Drosophila melanogaster: one gene and its partners. The protein of the gene in region 2 interacts with the protein of the main gene of each other region in a pairwise test. Each region holds a gene or a part of one and is shown on either strand. Other genes may lie near its edges. The genes, in order: CG12877, Usf and B-H2.

Region 1 (4,240 bases), on a different chromosome or scaffold from region 2:
AGTATACAAACCCACCCCTTTTTCTCTACGCTCCAGGATGTGGTGAGCGCCCGCTTGCCGCCCAGCATCATCTCGTGCGACACAGTCTTGCAGGCTACGCTCGGCTTGTTTCCCGCCTCTAAGGCCTCCTTGCGGAGCTTGTTAATCGCCAGCATGCAGCTGTTCTTGTAGATGGCAGGCGTGTTGCACTTCTTAAAGACGGTCAACTCCTCCACCTGGGCGCGCTCCCAGGCATCTGCCAGCTGCGGATAGATGACGGTGCAGTGCCTTACCATCATCTCATAATACTGAATGCGCACGTTGTATGATATCTTGGAGCTGCTGGGATCTAGGACGGTTGGCTTCTCCGCGTTGGACACAGGAGCCGCTTTGTCTAGCGCAGCAGTGGGCTTGTGAGCCACACGGCCGGCGCCCTTGAATGATTGTGCAGGCGTAAAGGCTGGCTTCTTCTCGGCCTGCAGCTCCTCGATCTTTTTTTTGGCCCGAGCGATGGCCACAATGTTGGCCACAGGTGCTATGCTGCGAGCTGGTAACCAAAAATATTTGAATTTGAATTATTATATATTCCAAAGTGGTATGCTCACCTGATCGCACTGGTGGGGTCAGAGCACTTCGCGAAATAAGTGGCGTGAGGTTGGAGTTGACCTTGGCCTGACGGAGCTCCTCCTGCGCTTGGCGCACCCGCTCCTGTGCCTGACGTACCTGCTCCGCTGAGGCTTCGGCTTGTAGCTTCTCCTGGCGCCGCAGCTCCGCGCGGCGGTTGAAGATCGCCTGCATGGCATTACGGACGTGATTGGGTTTGCGCATCGCCGCCGAAGGAGCCAAATGAGGCGTGATCTTGTCAGCATTCTCGTGGGCCACCCGGCGCTTCTGCAGAGCCGCCGTGGCTGCCTCGGTGAAGGTATCAATGTCCGGAGAAGGAGCTTTGCGCTTGCGAGAACTCTCCGGGTTGGCATTGCCGCCTTCGTCCTTGTGCATCTGCGCAAATTTTTTTTCCATCTCGTCAAAAATCATTTCACACTGGCGTACAATTTCTCCTTCCGAGGTGTCTGCTTCAAAATCAAAGTCCATGTCATCCAGATCATCCATAGGTTCTGCTGGTGTCAGTACAGCTGCTTCAGTATCCTTATCCGCCTCCGGTTCGCTCTTTGAAGTGCCAGCGCTTTTGCTGGAAGACGAGCTCCTCTTAGTTTTGGACCGTGAACTCGAGGAACTAGATTTGTGATGATGGCTCTTCGAGGAGGATGATGAAGAACTGCTCTTGTGCCTGCTACTGGAACTTTTGTCGTCGCGGTGCTTATCGCTGCTGGATGACTTTTTGCTGGAAGAGGAGCTAGATGAAGACTTGTGCTTAGAGGAACTTGAGCTTGAAGTATTTCGCTCCTTGGAGCGCTCCTTGTCGCTGTGGGAGGACTTTCGCTTATCCCTATCATTTTTTTCCTTCTCTCTGTCCCTTTCCTTGCTCTTCTCTTTGTCTTTTTCCCGGTCCCGGTCCCGGTCCCGATCCCTGTCTTTGATCTTTTCCCTTTTCAGCTCTCTGATCTTCTTCTTTTCTATATCCCTTTCCCGCTCCTTGCTGGGCTTTCGATCCTTTTCGTGGCTATCCCTAGCATCCGTCAGTTGCGTATTCTCCTGGTCCTCCTCGTTTTCAGCTACCGTATCTATCTTCTGTTCTTCGTCGTTATTCTGGACTTGCTCCTCAATCTCCACCTGCATCTGCTCATCAATTTCCTTTTCGAGTACCGCCTGCCAATCGTCATATTCTTCGCCATTTGTAACAGATGGCTGGCCGGGCACATATTTGGGAGCACTGTCCACGGACGCCTCCTGCTTCTTCTTAGCCGGCGATGCGTCAAGAGCCGGCTTCTCCGGGTGGTACTCCAGATTGGACTTCTTCCGGGGCGCACATAGCGTGATCTGGGGCAGTGGAAGGGAGAGCAACTTGGGTGCCGGCTTGTACTTGGGCACGGGGGAAGGTTCTGCAGGTGGAGCGGCCTCCAATTCGTCTGTAAACCGAGAGTGGATAGAATTTGTTGCGAAATTAACTGGACGTAATTCACTCACCTTTGCGAGCATGCTTAAAGTGGCAAAAGGGGCGCTTGCAGGACGCCGCATCCTGGCCGTCAAAGTAAGGGCACAAGAAGCCCTTAAAGAGACCCGTGGATGGCAGCATTTCCACCTCTTGCTGGGATTAGAAATTTAATAAAGCCGCTTGAGAAAACAAGCGTCCCAAATTTCTTTCTATTCTTTCTGCCTGTCTCTTTCACTCATTTCGACAGATGTCAGCTGTTTCAGCTGCTGGCGGCGTTGCCAGATAGGCGTCAGCATGGATGCTATGAATGGATGCTAAGGAATTAAATTAAATAAATTTAAATAAGTTTTAAATATTTACAAAACATTGAATGACCTATTTAATTAATAATTGTAAACAATATTCGCATTTTGTTAACGGTTACAATGTACGTTTATGGCAGTTGATTGCATCAATCCGGGAGGATTATATCTTGCGGTACGATGTACAATGCTATGCGATGTTAATAAGAATAAGATGTACGTAATAAGAATGTGGTGACTAACGGTATAAACAAATGGTGTAAAAAGTCTGGCAACTCCTGCAAACAGCTGTTTGCTGTGCCAATTTCCTATAGGGTCTTCGCCGCTTGTAAACAAAAACGCAGCAGTATAATAATAAAAATAATTGTTTAACCTATAAAATTGTTTGCTTATCTAGCCTAATGAACTTGATAGCTGCGGAACCGTTTTAATTTCGATCGAGTGCATCGCAAACTGAAGTTCGGGCGCGACATTCAACTGCCGCCTCATCGAAGGTTTGTGTGGGTGTGTCTGCTGGAATATGTTATTAAAAAAGAAATTCATATAGAAATTCAAATGAAACCGGCCATTATCGGTGGCCGACTGTCTGCAATAGCAATGATTAGGGTGATATATTATCGCACTGAGTCAGTGGACGCGGGTGGCGGATCCCACGGTGCGATAATTCAAGTGCTCCCCCTCCGGCAAGGTTTGCTGTGATATGGAACCAACCTATGGATTCAGTCGTATAACGGCAGTCTGGCGCTTCAGTTGTCTCCGGCAAAAGTGAATTCCCCATCGAGTACAAAGGTCAGTGGGCTAGAAATTCGCCTATGATTTCACCAGTGCGCCGGGAGTATAAATATTTATAAAGCTCCCCAATCCGGACTTTGTCCAGCTTGAGGAGATTAGTGAAGATAGTCGTCTAGCTGCAGTCCAAGAAAGATTACGTTCAACTTGACGCATAATCCGCTTAGTTGCACATTAAGTGTTCTTAGTTGTGTGGTATTAATTTGCACACCATTTTAATGTTTAACCTATAAGATGAGATCAATTTATTTCCGATGTGAATGTACTCAGTAATGTATTGGGTGAACTTTGGACCTGACGAACGTAAAAGCGATTCCCGATATGATTATTGTACTAATCTGACTTAGGCCTATAGAAAACCACCACACGCGCAGACTGATATCAACGATTCCAACGTGTCCCCCGCAGCTAAACCACCATGGACCGGGCTAGTCTATATTTTATGAGCAAGGATGATAAGAACACCTTCGACTTCGACGAGACCTTACCTTCGCTCCCGCTGCCGGAGCTTAGGGACACCATGGAGCGCTACTACAGCTGCATCCAGCCATTCGGGACCAAGGAGGAGTTGGCCCAGGCCCGCAAGACTATTGATGAGTTCCAAAACGGAGTGGGAGCCCAGCTGCACGAACAGCTCAAGAAGCGGGCGGCCGGCATGAGGAACTGGCTGGGCACCTGGTGGGAGGACTACGGATATCACCTGATTCGGATGCCGCTGCTGCCCTACCAGCTCATGGTCATGCCCTCGCAATTGGAAATGGTGGGCGTGCCGGAGACACCGGAGTACATGCTGAAGGTGAGTGGACCCACACCCCAAGCTCTATAAGAACACAAAGTTTAAGATTGCCTAATTGACTGTATAATTTTCGAAGAGTCTGGCGCGCCACATTCACCACTCGCTGGAGTTTTGGGATCTGACTAGAAAGTCCAGCATCAAACCGCTCTCCTCGAACGGCGGTAAAATAAAGTACTCCTCCGCGCTGTACAAGCACTTCTTCTCCACGTGCCGTGTGCCAGGCGAGGAGCAGGATCATATAGAGAAGCATTTTCTCACCAAGGATGAGGGCAAAACGCCGAGTCACATGCTTATTTCCGGCAAGGGACGTCAGTTCATCTT
Region 2 (4,240 bases):
CGGTGGAACATGCTCCTAATGTGGCCGAGAATCATGTGGTCCTGGCCTCTGCACTGGCCATGAAACACGACTTTAATCGATCACTGCAGCACTTCGACGAAGCCGAGCGACTGGATCCCAGCACATTGCCGAGAACACAGCAGGTGCGAAACTTTATAAGTTGCCTAGAGAACCTAACGAAGAAAACCTCCAAGATGTATAGCTATGTGAAGTACATGCAGAACGAGGTGAAGGAGTTCAAGAAGCTGAAGCATCACATCTCTCAGAATCACGAGAGATTGATCCAACAGCAGCTGCCATTGGGAGCGAGACGTCTGCTTGGCCTGGACGCCAAAACCAACAACGATGATCTCCATCGAAGGGGTCAATACTGCAGCACGAGGACGCCGAATGGTTCAGATGAACCGGTGTTGTTTTGTGACTTCTATTCGGACATGCAAATGCGATTGGAGAGCAAGGATGTGGACATTGATGTGCTGGAACGGGATCTAAAGGCCAATACGGATGCGGTCATTCGCCAGGTGTCCACCGAAATCCGGAAACAGTTCAATTTGGAGCAGCTTAAGGCGGCCAAGGCCCAAATGCCTGCGAAGGCGACAAAGGCTACATAGTAATGATTGCCATTACAAACAGATGGACTGGCACATTCCCTTCACAAAGCAACCAAATATTTTTGGTCACAAAATAGCTTGTACGATTAATCTGTTCTTAATTAGTATTTAGGTATGTGTGCAAGAGACGTGTGCGAGTGTGTGTGTGTGTGTGTATAGGATAAGTTTTCAGGTATAGTTTTATCAGGCTTTATACACGGAAATGTTCGAAAGGAGGAGGTTCTTTCGATGCATAATACAGCATCGTTATGTCACTTTAATTAATAATATCTTTTAATGAATATTTAAACAACGACTTTTTCACATTCGATAAGAAATAAGCTTTGAATTGTATTCAACTAAGAACTCTTTTGTTTATTTCTGTTTTCAGACAGCTTATTTTTATATTTGTTATATTATGTTTTATATTTGTCCAAAACCTCCTACCTCGAATTTCCCAAAAAAATATCATTAAGATCGCGTATTTATATTTACCACTAGTTTTACATTCAGTTATGTTATCTTAATGCAAAAAAAAAAGGAAATCTACAAAAATAACAACAGCCATTATCCAATCGAAGAACTGCAGGTTCCCGAGAGGAGTTTCTTTGGTGGATTACCATCGGATTGGTTGGGTTTTTAAGGCCTCCAACAGACTGGAAAGACTGGCAAAAGAATGGGGATTGTCAGCGTTGCTCACAAGCAAACCGCTCCAGCCGCAATTCCGGGCACCTTCATAGTCCATATCCAACTTGTTGCCAATGTGAAGGGCCTGCTCCGCTGGAATTTGCAATCTCTGCAGCGGAATTTCGAAGATACCGCGTTCGGGCTTCATAACACCGGCTTCGTAGGAAGTCAGAATGAAATCGAATTTGCCGGCAAAGCCCATGGCGTCCAGGACTTGTGGCAGTGACGAATCGAAATTGGAGATGATGCCCACACATTTGCCGGCATTTCGGACGTTCTGCACCAACTCCTGGGCACCATTCACGTGACTCCAACAGGCGCTGGTCCGAAAAACGGAAATTAGCCGCTGGCCGATCTTCTCCAGCTTCTCGGGCGCCAGACCGTGGTCCACGCAGCTAAAGGTTCGAGCCACCAGCTGAAGCCACCAACGCTGCCAATCCAATCCCGGCGAGTAACGGCCAAAGTTTGGATGTTCGCTGCTCATCGCCTTGAATTGCTGGCGAAAGCATTGTTCCAATCGGCGGCGATCCACTCCGGTGACCCCGAACTCCTCTGCCGTCTGATGGTACTGGCGAAGGGGATCCTCCAGGCGAAGCAGCGTGTCCGTTACATCGAAGGTCACCAGGCGAAAGCGTTTCAAATTCGCAACAAATTGCGAAGTCAACGACATTTTGGCCAACAGTGTGGTATTGTTTGTCCACTAGATATTACGTATATGCATTTGGTATATTTTAATTTTCGAAAAACCTCCAAAAACACATTTGCTTAGTTGAGAATCGTTTATTGAATTAAATGAAGATGCTTTTCTTCATTTTAAAGTTACAGATTTTCTACTTGTATGAAGAGTTTATTTTTTTTTTTGAATACAAACAATTATTTGGAAATGCCGCAAAAATACATTGCCTAAATTCTGGTATTTTTCGCAACAACTGTACTGTGTGTATTTGTCGGCATATATTTGCTGCCCGCCGGCGGGCACACTAAGCCAAACGAAAATAATTTTGTTACAAAAAAAATCAACAAATCGTATTGTTAAATGGCCGTGCGAACACGAACGACCATAAATCCGCCGCAGCGCTCGATTTCAAATCAAATCCTCGAGGCAGTCGGTAGTTAATAATACCGCAGAGCGGCCAGATCGGGGGATATCTACCATCCATATCCGTGTATCCTCCAACTAGAGATCGGAGCAAATAGTGGAGGAGATCCCGAATAGATCCGGAGTTACGTGATTCCCGGCGACACGGATACGATTCTGGCTGGGATTGGGCTATTGGAATTGGTGTACTGCTAACGGCGGATCATCGATGCAACAATGAATGTTCACAAGCGGCCACGTCTGAATATGGAATTCGGCTCCTCCACCAGCAATACCAACACTTCCACATCCCCGTCCTCCGTAAATATCAGCAATGCGAATCCAACAGCTGGACCTGGCCTCATGACCATTACCAATCACCACACCGCTGATTTGTCAGAGGCCCTGGTCCACAGTTCCTTTGCCAATGGTCAGCAAAGTCTGATTCTCACCAGCGACACGGGAAATCCGCTGATGAATAGCCAAGGTGCTCAGATATTTCTCACCATTTGCGGAGACGAGAACTCGGACGATTCGCAGGAGTACTATACGATTAAACAGGAACCGGGATGTGATCTAGATATCCATTCGCTGCTGCCTAGCAATTTGCAGCTGCCCAACAATCTGCAGCTGCCCACTGGCTGTGAGATATATTTGGTCAAGGAAACCGGCAGCTTAATGGGTGAGCCGCCGACGAAGGCGGCCATCAAGCTGGAACTAGATACGCTAAGCGAAAAGCCGCTCCTTCCATCTGTTACAACTTCCTCCAGCACACAGTCCGCGGTAATAACCGCCCAGACCGTGAATCCTCCCATTCCAGGTAACATCAACACCACCACCAGCACCACTAGCACCACCACCACCACCAGTGTCCTGTATGGCTCCCATGGCAATGGTCATGGCCATGGCCATGCTCACGCCCAAGCCCGATCCCAGCCAGAATCAGCTGGCCAAACACCATCCAGCAAACTGGAGGCGTACAAGAAACGCGATGATAAACGTCGTGCCACGCACAACGAGGTCGAACGCCGGCGCCGCGACAAGATCAACAGCTGGATCTTCAAGCTCAAGGAGATGCTGCCCAGTCTGAGCTCCAGCTCCAGTTTCAGCGAGGCCAGCACGAGTCCCAGCACCAGCGGAAGTACGAGTACCAACGGAAGTAGCCATTCCAAAGGCAATGCCAGCAGTTCCAGCGGACGAGCGCCGCCCAATGACTCCAAATCGCAGATCCTGATCAAGGCATGCGAGTACATCAAGAGCATGCAGGGCGAGATTGACACGTGAGTGGAGACGGGTTTGTAGGGGGGAAACCACTGAATCAGAAATCCACAAATATTGTCCGCTATAAGTTGCTGTACTACAGTTATATATACAGCTATATAACTTTTTTGACTTGTTAATGGTCTTAAAAAATGAGTTTGCTTATAGATCTTAATCAACTCCATTCGCTCAATTGAGCTTACATCATGTATCGATCGCATACGGTTAGGAATAAAGTTACCCAAAGGGCGGACACTTGATCTTTCCCACTTTTTCCGTAGAAATGCGTACTTAAAGTGCTGATATAGGGCTGGTGTTATCTTTTTGCAAAACAAAATCCCCATTTTGGAGCGGTTCTTTTTCGCCACTATCTCGTGCAATATGAGCTGGACTCTCGAATGTCCCTGTGTCACTCAAGTCTTGAACACAACACTCTCTCACACTGATCGAATGCGGTTTCCACCCAAACAAAACCCAACAAAATCATACAAAGCCAATCAAACACCTGATCCACCGATTCACCGATCACCAAACATAAACAAACCAATTACTCAACTTTGTCTATCCCCACCAATAAACAGGCTGCGCGACTGTCTAAGGGAGACGGATAGCCTAAGGGCCAGCA
Region 3 (4,240 bases), about 13 Mb from region 2:
TCAAATTTATCAGCTAACATTTATTGGTGTGCATACTATGAAATAATTTCTATTCTCTATAGCCATAAAAGCCCTTTTCGTTTAATAAAATAGCTAATACAGCTGAACTTTGGTAAAGTTTATAAATAGAACTGGTTTTAATGGCAATTTGTATACTATAATTACTAGCTTCCTTTATTTCCTTTAATATTCTATGCAAATTTACTAGAGCTTAAATACATATATATTAGCTAGATTTTGATTGCTTTTAATTTGTACGTCAGGAACACGTATAAAAAAGCCTTGATTGGTATTTTGAAACATTTATATCTCGCATTATATCTTGTCTTTCTTTTTTCTTGCTATTTTGAATATCAGTTGTTCATTAGATTTCACTTTCCCATCCAGTCCAGTCCCTGAAATATCACAAATATCATATTGCTATATATATATATATATATATTCTCTATATGTATCCCCGCTTTGCTCTTCTCATATTACTTGATATTGCAATAAAGTGTCTATATACATATACATATATTCCGCACTTGGTGCTATTCTTCAAGATCCATCTGAATCTGTATGTCTGTCTCATGAACTAGTCTCTTCCTTTAGTTAGCAACTTAATTATTTCTGCTATATATATATATATATACTTTATATATTCCCGATGTAGCCTTATCCTTGAAATACAGCTTAAACCATATTGCTATACAGATTCATTGTATGTTTATGATATATGATCAGCGACTTACCGCAATCATCGCTGTCGCTGTCGTCGATTGTGCTGGCTTGATCGCCGCTAATGCTGCTGCCGGGTCCTCCGAGCAACATGTTGCCGTTGCCACTGCCATTGTTGTTGTTGCTGCTGCTGCTGTTGCCGCTGATGATGTTGCTGTTGGCACTAGCACTGTTGTTGTTGTTGTTGTTGTTGTTACTGGCACTGCTGCTGTTGTTGTTATTGTTGTTGTTATTGCCACCGTTACCGCCCAATTGTTGCAGCATCAGCGGTGACCGGGATCGCTCATCGTGCATGGGATGATGCAGATGCGGATGGTGCTGCTGGTGGCTCAGGTGGCTTAAGTGGCTCAAGTGCTGGGCAGGATCACCGGTCAGCCCGTGGCCATGCCGATGCAGTGCCTCCAATCGTTCCCTCTCAAGCTGCAGATGATGCGGGTGGGGATGTTGCTGTTGCTGCTGTTGCTGTTGCTGCTGCTGCAGCACGGCGTAGTGGGCGGGCGGAAAGTGGGCGAGCAGATGGGGCGGCATGGGGTGGTGGGCATAGGGATTGTTGCCAGGCGGCGAATGTCTCTCCCTATAGTGTTCCCGCTCCCGCTCCCTCTCCCTTTCCCGTTCAAAGCGCAGCAACTGCTGCTGTTGCACGATGTACTGTTGCAGGGCAGCCTGCTGATGTTGCTGCTGCTGCTGCTGCTGCTGGTGATGATGGTGTTGTTGCTGCTGCTGGTGATGGTGGTGATGCTGGGCGACCAGCGATTGCTCCCGCTCCGAGTCCGTCGGACTGCCACGCCCACCGCCGGAAGAGGCGGCTGCCAAGGCGGCCGCCGCTGCTGCTGCCGCCGCCGATGCGGCCGCGGCTCCTGCCAAAATATCGGTGATCATAAAGCGGGATCGCGTCGCCGTTGTGGCCGTGGCTGTCGTCGTGTTGCTGCCGACGGCCGGGGAAGCTGGACGCGGCATACCGCCGCCGACGGCAGCGGGATGATGAGCGGTGGCACTCGGTGCACTGCCAACGGGAGCTGCCGTTGTTGCGGACATTTCCGGTGGCATTGTGGTCATGTGTGGTTAGCCGACGACTCCGCTGCTGCACCTGCACTTTGCACCGAAAAAAAACAAACAGCTATGTATGTATGTATGGGTGACGCGAGTTTTTAGCACTTCTTCAGTTAATTGTTGGTAGCTGCTCGCACTTATTTCTTAAACTTGACAAGTTCTTGAACTCCGCTTTCGATTGCTCTTGCGTTGGTTAATGTTTTCTTGGCCCAACTGGGTTTTTAACGCAAATGTCGCTGAGGTGCGCACACTTTGTGATGTTCAATAGCGGAGCAACAACCGCTCGCCTTTGGCTTTCGACCGAAACTGAAACTTGCTGCCAGCAACAGCAACTGGCAGCAGCAGCAGCAACAACAGCAGCAGCGGCAACAGCAGCAACAACAAGAAGGCAGCAAAAACCAGTTGAGCCACCGCTTCCCATCAGCTGCCACCTGTCGTCGTCTCTTTTTCGCTCATTGACCTGGCCAAGTGGCGGTGTGGTGAGTTTCCCTCTCTGTCGCCCCGCGACTGCCTCTCGCTCGCACCCACGGCTGCCCACATTTATTGCCCGCACTTATTGGTCGTAATTGGCAGCAATTGACATTCATTAGGCTTCAATCAGCGGGACTCAAGTTGGCGGGTGTGGTGACTTTCCGCCGGCAATGGCCGCACGTCTAACGGTTATTTTTATGGCACGTGGTGGAGTTGGCTGTTTCGAACTACAACCGCACAAAAAGTATTGCAATTAACTTCATATCCTTAAATAAATAGGGTTTATTAAGTCTTGTCAATTTATATAAAAAGTTATTTGTACTTATTTGATTTCTATAAATCTGAACAAAAACGTGTTCGTTATCTTTGAGGGTTAAATATAGTCTTAGGGGTCAGTTGGTTATTTCATATTATTTTAGCTGCTTTCAAACAAAATTTGAACAGTGTTAATGGTAAACTTTTATTATAATAGCGAGTATTATTAAAAAATATGTAGCCATGCATCTTTAATATACTAATAACTTGTTATCTAACTTTCCAACTAAATATAGTTTGTACAGGAATGACAGAACATTTATGCAATATGCCTCCAGCAGTAGCAAAATCATACTGTTTTAGAAGGTTTCCCTGTTCAATACGACTTCCCATAAACTTTTTATGGCAGCTTGAAACTCAACACGATTATGGCAGCAGGGCAGCTGCCGCCTTTGCTTTTGCTTCTAATGTTGCTTTTGCTGTTGTATCTGATGGACAGATATCCGGATGGCAAGATGGATGGATGGGATGCTGTCAACCCTGTTTTGTGGCCAGGCCACGCCCCCTTAAACTGGTTTGTGCGAGCGAGAGGCAGCCGGCACGACATCTGTCTGTCTCGCTTTGGCCCAAGGGCTGGCCGCCTGTGGCTCGCCTCGGGCCCTCTCGCTCTGCGTACTTTGTTGTTGGTGTCTTTTGTTATTTTTGCGCTTGTTAACACTTTTTGTTTGGCATTTAAACAGTAAATTGGCAGCAGTTAAATGCTGCACGCTTTCCTCTCTGTCGCACGCGATAGTGCCCTCTCTTTCCACTCACTTCTGGTTTACTTCTTGTATCGATGTCAATTTGCTGCCTAATGTGCAAGTGAATGGGTCTCAGGGGGGGGGTGGCTATCCAAGAGGGGGCTGTATACCACTGGGGGTTCCTACCACCTCATTCCTGTGGACTAACAAGCGTGCTCCGGTGGGCAGGAGCTACTCGAGGAGGCAGTCTTTGGCGCCTGGAGGCGGATGCTCCCGCTGCCACATGTTTATTGTATAGTTAGCTTTTCAAAATGGCCTCACGGCAGCAATTGTCGGGTATTACTGGCCATTGGTATGTATCCGAGTTCCTGTCGCCAAACGTTTCCAGGAATAGAGTATCGTAATCATAGATATATCCCAAGCATTTACGACCTGACAAACGATCGGGCTGGAGCAGGAAAACGAAGACGTGACCGGGATCATTGGGTACAGTTTGTATTGCCTCTGAATAAACCATGAGATTGATTTTCCTGTAATATAAATTATAGCATTAATAGATATGAACATAAACTTATCATTTTTTTTATGTAATTTACTTATTGATAATTGTTTTCTTAATTATCAATAAATAAAACTAAGGTCAGACCAATTTAATACAATGTTTACATTTATTCAAAAAAATATATATTTATAACGTAAGTGGTACTGAAAGGGATAAGCACCGGAAATCCTAAGAAATTGAGTAAAATTTGGCACTTACTGCACGTGTTCTAATTTTAATTGGAATTCCCCCAAGCCTATCCATCTAAAAGTAACTTCCCCATCTGTCACTGCTCTCTCGCTCTCGATGTCGAAACACCACCATTCCATTAATGAGGTTTCCGTAAAAATGTGACAATAATTTATCTTTCAGCATTCCCTTTGCCTGCTAATGAGGCAACTTGACTTTCGCCACTCTCCCGCACTCGCAATCACCAAAAATCCCACGGATATTCGACGTATTT

Evidence for each region.
Region 1: the proteins of Usf (region 2) and CG12877 interact in a two-hybrid assay, tested with the Drosophila melanogaster proteins (one large-scale study listed by BioGRID).
Region 3: the proteins of Usf (region 2) and B-H2 interact in a two-hybrid assay, tested with the Drosophila melanogaster proteins (one large-scale study listed by BioGRID).

What each region holds. Positions count from the first base shown.
Region 1 is NT_033777.3:27,705,143-27,709,382, reverse strand, and holds the start of CG12877 (uncharacterized protein), read right to left. Parts: upstream 2,284-4,240; 5' UTR 2,174-2,283; coding exon 2,065-2,173; intron 2,007-2,064; coding exon 585-2,006; intron 527-584; coding exon 16-526; intron 1-15. Other genes in the region: CROT (carnitine O-octanoyltransferase), read left to right, coding at 3,542-3,919, 3,996-4,240.
Region 2 is NC_004354.4:4,546,781-4,551,020, reverse strand, and holds the start of Usf (Usf), read left to right. Parts: upstream 1-2,226; 5' UTR 2,227-2,592; coding exon 2,593-3,635; intron 3,636-4,196; coding exon 4,197-4,240. Other genes in the region: CG11436 (uncharacterized protein), read left to right, coding at 1-611; CG15912 (uncharacterized protein), read right to left, coding at 1,207-1,947.
Region 3 is NC_004354.4:17,312,406-17,316,645, reverse strand, and holds the start of B-H2 (BarH2), read right to left. Parts: upstream 2,066-4,240; 5' UTR 1,777-2,065; coding exon 735-1,776; intron 1-734. UniProt on the Drosophila melanogaster protein: B-H1 and B-H2 are regulated by members of the wg signaling pathway; wg and dpp. B-H1 and B-H2 are coexpressed and functionally required in R1 and R6 receptor cells and primary pigment cells for normal eye development.